Caenorhabditis elegans: one gene and its partner. The protein of the gene in region 2 purifies or fractionates together with the protein of the main gene of each other region. This does not show direct contact. Each region holds a gene or a part of one and is shown on either strand. Other genes may lie near its edges.

Evidence for each region.
Region 1: the proteins of C28D4.4 (region 2) and wac-1.1 fractionate together in Caenorhabditis elegans (co-fractionation; one large-scale study listed by BioGRID). This does not show direct contact.

The regions. Positions count from the first base shown.
Region 1 is NC_003279.8:13,345,441-13,350,130, forward strand, and holds the start of wac-1.1 (WW domain-containing protein), read left to right. Parts: upstream 1-1,629; 5' UTR 1,630-1,639; coding exon 1,640-1,726; intron 1,727-2,079; coding exon 2,080-2,178; intron 2,179-3,969; coding exon of another isoform or gene 3,970-4,038; intron 4,039-4,690. Other genes in the region: wac-1.2 (WW domain-containing protein), read left to right, coding at 1,292-1,336.
Region 2 is NC_003282.8:9,743,212-9,746,977, forward strand, and holds C28D4.4 (DUF1248 domain-containing protein), read right to left. Parts: upstream 1,795-3,766; 5' UTR 1,773-1,794; coding exon 1,593-1,772; intron 1,545-1,592; coding exon 1,005-1,544; intron 963-1,004; coding exon 754-962; intron 710-753; coding exon 577-709; 3' UTR 549-576; downstream 1-548. Other genes in the region: C28D4.5 (DUF1248 domain-containing protein), read right to left, coding at 2,400-2,532, 2,578-2,786, 2,829-3,368, 3,417-3,596.

The sequences.
Region 1 (4,690 bases), on a different chromosome or scaffold from region 2:
CGAACACTCTCCGCTTTTAAAATACTTTCGTGCCGTTTTCTTACTTTTTCACTCGTTTTCTCGAGTTTTTGTAGCGAAAACCTGGTTTTATAGTCGAAAAACTGTAAATTTTCATCGTTTTATTTGATTTTTCTTTGAAAAATCGTTCGAAAACCGTATTTTGCTAGTTTTTCAGACGAATTTAGTTTAAATTCTTATTCAATACAAAGTTACCCTATTTTAGAGGAATGTCGGTTGGAAAATCAATTTTATAGTGATTTTAGGCGAAAATTTAGTGGAAAATCGCTGAAATTTCAAAAAATATCAGTAAAAAAAATCGAAAAATCAATTTTTGAAGTATTAAATTCAAACATTTATTATTTCCCCGGTTTTTCAGGAAAAAAGTATGCGAAAAAGGGGGTTTTCGACTAATTTGGCTCATTTTAGCATTATTTTCGATTTAAATCAGCTTTTTAGGTGTAAATTAGTGCATATTCTACTGAAAAGCAAAATTTACAGTTTTTCAACAGTAAATTGATCGATTTTCACCTAAAACACTATTTATTTCTCAATTTTCCGTCCAAATTTCATATAGAAACGGTTATTTTCCCATTTTAATCAAATATTGGTTCGAAAATCAATTTTCTAGTTGATTTCGCTAAAGTTTTTGTTAAAACCGCAAAATTTTTGAGATAATTCCATAGTTTTCGGAACTATATCTCGATTATTGTTGGATTTTAGCTTCAAAAATGGCGTTTTTGCAGTTTTTGAACACGTTGATTTTCATTCAAAAACACCAAAAAATGAAATAAATTGGCAATTTAGCGTGTTAAATAGATAAAAAATCGATAAAAAAGGTTCAAAATTAGGATTAATTTAGCCAAAAACTGAAAACTCTTCTCCTCGAGGAGTACACGAGCAGCGTAAATCGACACATGAGGTTTTTCTCCCATTTTCAAGTATAAAACAGTTTGGAAGCTCGATAAAAACTCCAAAAACTAGCTTTTTAGGAAATTTAGGTGTAAAATTTGTGTAGAAACTCGAAAAATTGCAAGAAATTATGTAAAAATTCATAAAATCAGTCGAAAAAACCAACTTTAATTCAAAAAATGTATTTTTCTCAGTATTTCCAGAAAAGAAAACACGGATTTCAGACAATTTTTTGTCGAAAAACGCCAAAAAATTAAAAAAAAAACCAATTTTAATTCCAAAATCGTAATTTTCTCAGTATTTCCAGAAAAAAAAACACGAATTTCAGTGAATTTTCTCCTTAAAAAACTCAAAAAACACTTAAAAACCCCAAAATTTTCAGACTCTACTCTCGGAGCCAGAACAACAGTCAGATGGCAATGAATAACTGAAATTCTAAGCTTTTTCCCGAATTTTTATCCGAAAATGTGCCCCCATTCCAGTGATGATCTCTCATTTCCCCCGCGACTTTTTTTTCTCATTTTTCGTGTATTTTTCCGTTTGTGTGCAAAAGATTAGACAATTCTCGTCGTAGAACTAATGTAAATTTTGTAATATAAAATTTAAAAAATTTTTTAGAACGTTTTTCTGATGTTTTTTTTTGTTTTTAATGGTTTCTATAAGCCAATTGTTATTTTTTATTAATTTTTAAAAACATTTTTGTTAAAAATTTGATTTTCGAGATCCGAAAATGTCGCGTGTACCGCGAACATTTGCAGGATGGACGGAGCAAATGAGCTCCAGTGGAAAAATGTATTATTATAACAAAAAGACTGAGGTAAGGATGATTTTTTGGCGAAAAAATGGTTGAAAATCGACCCAAAAAATCAAACATTTCGAAAAAAAAGGTGCAAAATTGAACATTTTTCGTCAAATTTAGCACTCTTCCCGGTTTTTTTTTGAGCGATTTCTAGTGAAGTTCTTGAAAAAAATAACTGTTTTCTTTTTTTCTATAAGTTCTGGAGAAATTCAGTGGGAAATTTTTTTTTCAGCATCAAAAAAGTGAATTCGGGCCTTTTTTTCCGAAATTTTAAAGATTTTTGTTGGGTGATTTTGTGTTTTTTTTTAAAGAAAAAACCTTGAAAATTCAAATACTTACTGACATTTTACAATTTTTCCCAAAAATTTCAGATCTCACAATGGGATAAACCAGCAGAATGGCCTGCGGAAGGTGGATCGGCGGAACGAGATAAACCGAAAGGAGGAGTTAATGAAAAACCACGTTTTGCGGTAAGTTTTCATGGAAATTTGAGAAAAAATTTATAAAATCGGGTGAAAGTCTTCTTAAAAAGCTGTTTTACTGAGAATTCTGAAATTTTGCAAGGCGCTTATTTGGTAAAGTTTTTTGAAAAATACTGAAATGAGCTTTTCTCGCTCGCTTCGCTATTGGTCTAATTTCAAAAAAGTAGGCGTGACCAACCAATCAGCCATTTTTCTCGCCTTTTCCCATTGCTCAGCTTAAAACTTTGCGATCGCTGATTGGTTGGCCACGCCCACTATTTTGAAATTAGCCAATAGCGAAGCAAAAATGTTTTTTTCTGCGAACTTTCAACGCCTCAGGAATTAATTTTTTTTTCTTCATTTTGTTTTCCAGTCGTCTCAATTACTTTTTGGCTCTCTCCAACTTTTCGGCAAATCGACAATTATAGTGCTCGAAAAAATTGTTTCTCTCTCTCCCCCAGCCATTGAAAATCGAAATAATTTGATGTTTCATTAGGAGAATTGGACATTTTTTTTCGATAATTCGGCAAATGCCGTATTTCAAATTTTTTGGCAATCCACCACTGCTTCAACTCAGCGGTGTGCGGCAAATTCGCGGAGTTTGCCGAGCTCGGAAAATTTCAAAAAAGTATATTTGCCGAATTTGCCGCACACATCAAAAATTTGATAATACAATTTTGACCAAAACTATTGATTTTGCCCCCAAAAATTTAGTAAAGTGACGCAAAATTGAGTTATTTTGAGGATTAAGCAGACACTCTACACGGAACTTATTCAGAAATCCGATGTGTGTTAAAATTTCGGAGTTTGTTAAGATCAGCAAATTTGCCGAATTTGCCGTGCTCGAGATCTGCCGCTCACCCCTGTTGTAACTCTCTTCCTCTCAACTTCATTATCTTCTTATCTTCATTATCAGCAACTTAGCTGAACCATAAAAGTAAACCTCCATCTCCGATCCGTCTCCGATCTATCTTTCAGGAAGATTGATATTGCAGGCTTTTCCAGCTCGAGTTGTGATCTACTTCAGTCCATCGCATCGGTTGTACTTGTTTAAAATTTCATTAGATGAAGCCCCCCCCCCCCCAATCTACTCAACGTCTTCGATGATTTAACGGCCGAGATAGATGTATTCTGCCTTCAAAATTGGCTCAGTTGCTCTCCGAAGCTCATCAACTCCCTTTTTTAACTCCTTATCTACTATCGGCAACTCTAGCTAAACGATAAAAGTATAAAAGTACACCTGAATCTCCGATCATTTACGTCTTCGATAAAGTTCAGATGGTTTTTCGTGTTGATTTAATGACCGAGATGGATGATCCTGACCTTCAATCATTAGTTTTCTAGCTCTTGGCTCAGTTGGCTCCGAAGCTCATCAACTCCCAGTCACTTTCTTCTTATCTTCCATCGGCAACTTAGCCATAAAAGTACACCTGAATCTCCAATCCGTCTCCAATCTATCTCTTTTTTCCTCAGGAAGATCGATATAATGAATATATCGGTCAATTATCTTCTTCTTCTTCGTGTTTCTGGCGACAAATCGGCATCTTCAGTCTCTCGTCCTCCTCAAAGTATTATCTCTGCGCTTCTCGTTTTCTCCCACTCTCTCACTCTCTTCTACAGTTTCTCCGAGAGATACGCAGACGGTTATAGATAGAGTGAGGGTGCACGAACTGTCTCACATACTCACTTATTTTCTCACTATTATTTTATCTATTTTTACCCACGAACTTCTTCTTCTTATTATTATTACCTGGGCTTCACCTTAGAATTCATCCCTATATTCACTATTTTTCCATCAAAATGTCCTCGTCGTCGTCGGGGCTGTTCAACTTTTTGACCAGCTCCATACGAGCCCTTCAGGTTAATGAGGTGAACTTTTTTAAAAACTTTTTTAAATATTTTTTATGAATTTTTAGAGTTTTTATTAAAAGAAAATATAACGATGATCTATTTTCGACATTTCCCGAGTTTTTCCTGTAATTTTTTGAAAATCAAGCTAAAAACATGAAATTTTAGCCTTTCTAGTTAATGAATACGAAAAAAAATATTGAAACATGGAGATTTTCTACTCTTTCAAATGAAAATGCATTTAATTGCGTATTAATCTATTAAAATTGCTAACATTTAAGGTTTTCACCCAAATTTTCAGAAATTTCCTGAAGATTTATTTTACCCACGAAAATTGCAAATTTAAGCTTTAAAAAATCCCAAAAAAAACATTTTCATTGAAAAACTGCAAAAAAAACCACTAAAACAGCGTTGAAGACTATTAAACTCAAAATTCTGGAAAAACTGCGCCGCAGACTTGCAGAACAAGGCCCCGCCTCTTTTTTCCGCTCTGATTTTTTTCCAATTATTGCAAAAAATTAGACAGCTGAAAAATCCGGGAAAAATTCGCTAAAATCACAAATTTGTCCTAAAAATGCGGGAAAATTTATAAAAAATAGATTTAAAAAAAATATCGAAAATAGGAAATATGGGAATTCAACCTTTTTTTGCGCAAAATTTGAATAAATAATTG
Region 2 (3,766 bases):
AAGGTTCTACACGTGGGAAACTATTCTAAAATCTCAAAATCTTATAAACATTCTAAACACTAATCACTTGGAACTGGCTGCATATGATTTGTTGGTATTGTATCGTTCAAAAAACGTTTTTGGATCAAGCAATTCTCTGTTATCCGTTCAATTTTTCAGTGATTATTTTTGATCTAGTTGCACTTGTTCATTTTGATTGCTTCCTAGTTTTCGATTCAAATATGCATGTTCGAGTAAGACCATCTTTGGAACACGTTTCTGCACACATTTTCTGTTCAGTCTTTCTTGGTTTTGTCGTGCAGGATCCAGTTCATTTCGGTTTTCATATCGGATGAATACTGACTTTTCTCGTGCACGAACCCTGAGTCCACGTATCACTTCTATCTTGTCTCGGATATCTGCCAATCTTACATGGGATTAATTTTCTGAAGAACATAGACAAAAATCCCAGTCTTTAAAGATACAATTCACTTCTGCTCACTTTCTTCAGTGTGTTTCTTGGAGAAACTATGTCTGCTCTCAGCAAAAAAGGCAACAAAAATTGTAAAGAATTAAAAAATAGTTTTATCACTTGTATCAAATTGCGCAGGTGGTATATGGTGTATTTGAATAAGTTTTCTTGTAGTTGACGGTCGGATGATGAGGAATGCCACACATGTATCCCATGATTTCCTTTCTTATCGGTCTTCTGACAAAGGGCTGGATCCATCTAAAAAGCAATTCTAATTGAGATGTCATAATACTGATTTATACTCAAATCCCCCGTCACATTGATCGATTGATCTAATTTGGAATCTATGTTCCTTCTTGCCATTGAGTGGAATTTCTTTTAAAATGCTTTTGAATATCGCCTGAGCCACTTTACTATCATCAGCATATAGTGGAGTCAATACACATTCACCAGATGGATAGATGATCACATTTCCAAATCCAATCACTTTTCCATTATTGTCGTATGCTACCTAAAGATGTTCAATTGATAAAACTCAACTTTTGAAACAAACCTTTCCAAAACCTTCAGGATCTCTAAGAAGATTTAACATGTACTTGGATCTTTCATATGGAAACACAGTGTTATCATATTTCACAATATCCATATCTGGTACCTCCGTTGCATTTTTAAGGAATATTCCATCAAGATTCAAGTCTTCAGGAATCTGCATCTCATCTGGCTTGTAATAGGAAACGTACATGATATGCTGGTAATTATTAGTTCCATATATTTTTTTGATCATGTTAGCCGCTGGTGGCAAATACGTGCCGACATTATTATCCGATTGATTTCGAGCTCTGAGTTTTTCTATGTAGTCCATAATTTCCATACTATCCTTTCCACGATAATCGGGATCAATCCAGAAAAATCCATGATACTGATGGAGAATATCATTGTGAGAAGGCAATGGTGGGAAATTCAATACATGTGACATTTGGACTATCTTGTTAGTTCCTTTCAGACATACAAGCCACAGAGAGTAACTATCTTTGAAAGATTTTCTCCAAATATCAATATCATTCCTCTTGAAGTTCAACCGCTGATTTCCGTACTGAAACATTATATTTAACTGCACTTGTGCAACTTGAAAATGTCTTACCACTTTCATGTACTCATCAACCATCTTCTCATCAGGATCAATTACAAAATCTACATTATGAATTGTCAGTGCATCTCTTGGTTTTCCATCAACAGTCTTGAATGTGATGGAACTGATTGACTTCACTGATGAAGAAATCTTCGTGAGCTTACGGCCAATGGCTAGGGATTTAGAGAGCATTTAAGTAGATTTTTGCAAATCTAGTTTTTTTAATTGAACAGAAATTGGAACTGTTAAAGGTTAGTCGAACACGTAAGGTCTCCGAAGGTTCTACATGTCACGTTAGAAACAGTTTTAAAAATTAATCAATTGAGACTATGGTTTGTATTATATATTTAGATCAATTTTTCGAACACGCAATTATTTAATACCCGTTTACTTTTTTTGTGATTCTTTTTGACCTACATAATTGCCATCTAAAACGTTCATTTTGATTGCTTCCTGGTTTTTGCTTAAAATAAACAAGTTTGGATGAGACCATCTTTTCAAAAAGTTTCTATAGCGATCAGGCCTTGTCTGTTGTCTTTAATCATGCACCTACACAGGATTCACATCTCAATTTGGTTTTCTACCCAACACGTGAATGATGACTCTCCTCGTGTACGTTTCCGAAATCTTTGTTTCACTGATAAATTTTGACTCAGTCCGTCTTTGATAGGATCAATTTTCTAAAGAGCACAAAGCTTATTTAATGCGTTTCCTGGACTTTGTCTGATCTCCACAAAAATCAAAAATAAATTCTTAATGGGTTTTGTTCAAATCGTTTTATCGGACTCATACAATATCTCCAGATCAATCGTTTTCCGCTCAAATTACGCAGGTCGTGTACGGCGTGTTCGCATAAGTTTTCTTGTAATTGACGGTTGGAGGATGAGAAGAACCAGCCATGTATCCCATGATTTCCTTTCTTATTGGGTTTTTAACAAAGGGTTGAATCCATCTAAAAATAAAATGAAAATTGAGATATCATAAAACAAAAACTAACTCAAATCCTCCTTCACATTGATCGATTGATCTTATTTGGAATCTCAAAAGCTTCTTGTCATTGAGTGGAATTTCTTTTAAAATGCTTTTGAATATTGCCTGAGCCACTTTACTATCATCAGCATATAGTGGAGTCAATACACATTCACCAGATGGATAGATGATCACATTTCCAAATCCAATCACTTTTCCATTATTGTCGTATGCTACCTAAAGATGTTCAATTGATAAAACTCAACTTTTGAAACAAACCTTTCCAAAACCTTCAGGATCTCTAAGAAGATTTAACATGTACTTGGATCTTTCATATGGAAACACAGTGTTATCATATTTCACAATATCCATATCTGGTACTTCCGTTGCATTTTTAAGGAATATTCCATCAAGATTCAAGTCTTCAGGAATCTGCATCTCATCTGGCTTGTAATACGAGACATACATTATATGTTTGTAATCAGCATGCCCATGCATTTTCGTCCACATAGTCACAGCTGTAGTCAAAAACGTTCCAGCATCATTATCCGATTGATTCCGAGCTCTGTGCTTTTCGATGTAATCCATGATTGCCATACTATCCTTTCCACGATAATCAGGATCAACCCAGAAAAATCCATGATACTGATGGAGAATATCATTGTGAGAAAGCAATGGTGGGAAATTCAATACATGTGACATTTGGACTATCTTGTTAGTTCCTTTCAGACATACAAGCCACAGAGAGTAACTATCTTTGAAAGATTTTCTCCAAATATCAATATCATTCCTCTTGAAGTTAAACCGCTGATTTCCGTACTGAAACATTATATTTAACTGCACTTGTGCAACTTGAAAATGTCTTACCACTTTCATGTACTCATCAACCATCTTCTCATCAGGATCAATTACGAAATCTACATTATGAATTGTCAGTGCATCTCTTGGTTTTCCATCAACAGTCTTGAATGTGATGGAACTGATTGACTTCACTGATGAAGAAATCTTCGTGAGCCTACGGCCGAGGGCAAGAGATTTGGAGAGCATTCAAGTAGATTTTTGCAGGTCTAGTTTTTTGAATTGATTACAAAATAAATTTAAATAGTTAGAACTTGCAAAGGTTAGTCGAACACGTGCGTTCTTTGAAATTGGGATAGGTCACGCTGACAATTTTACTTTTCTAAACCGAAACTGAGTATTATAAGGTCGTACAATCG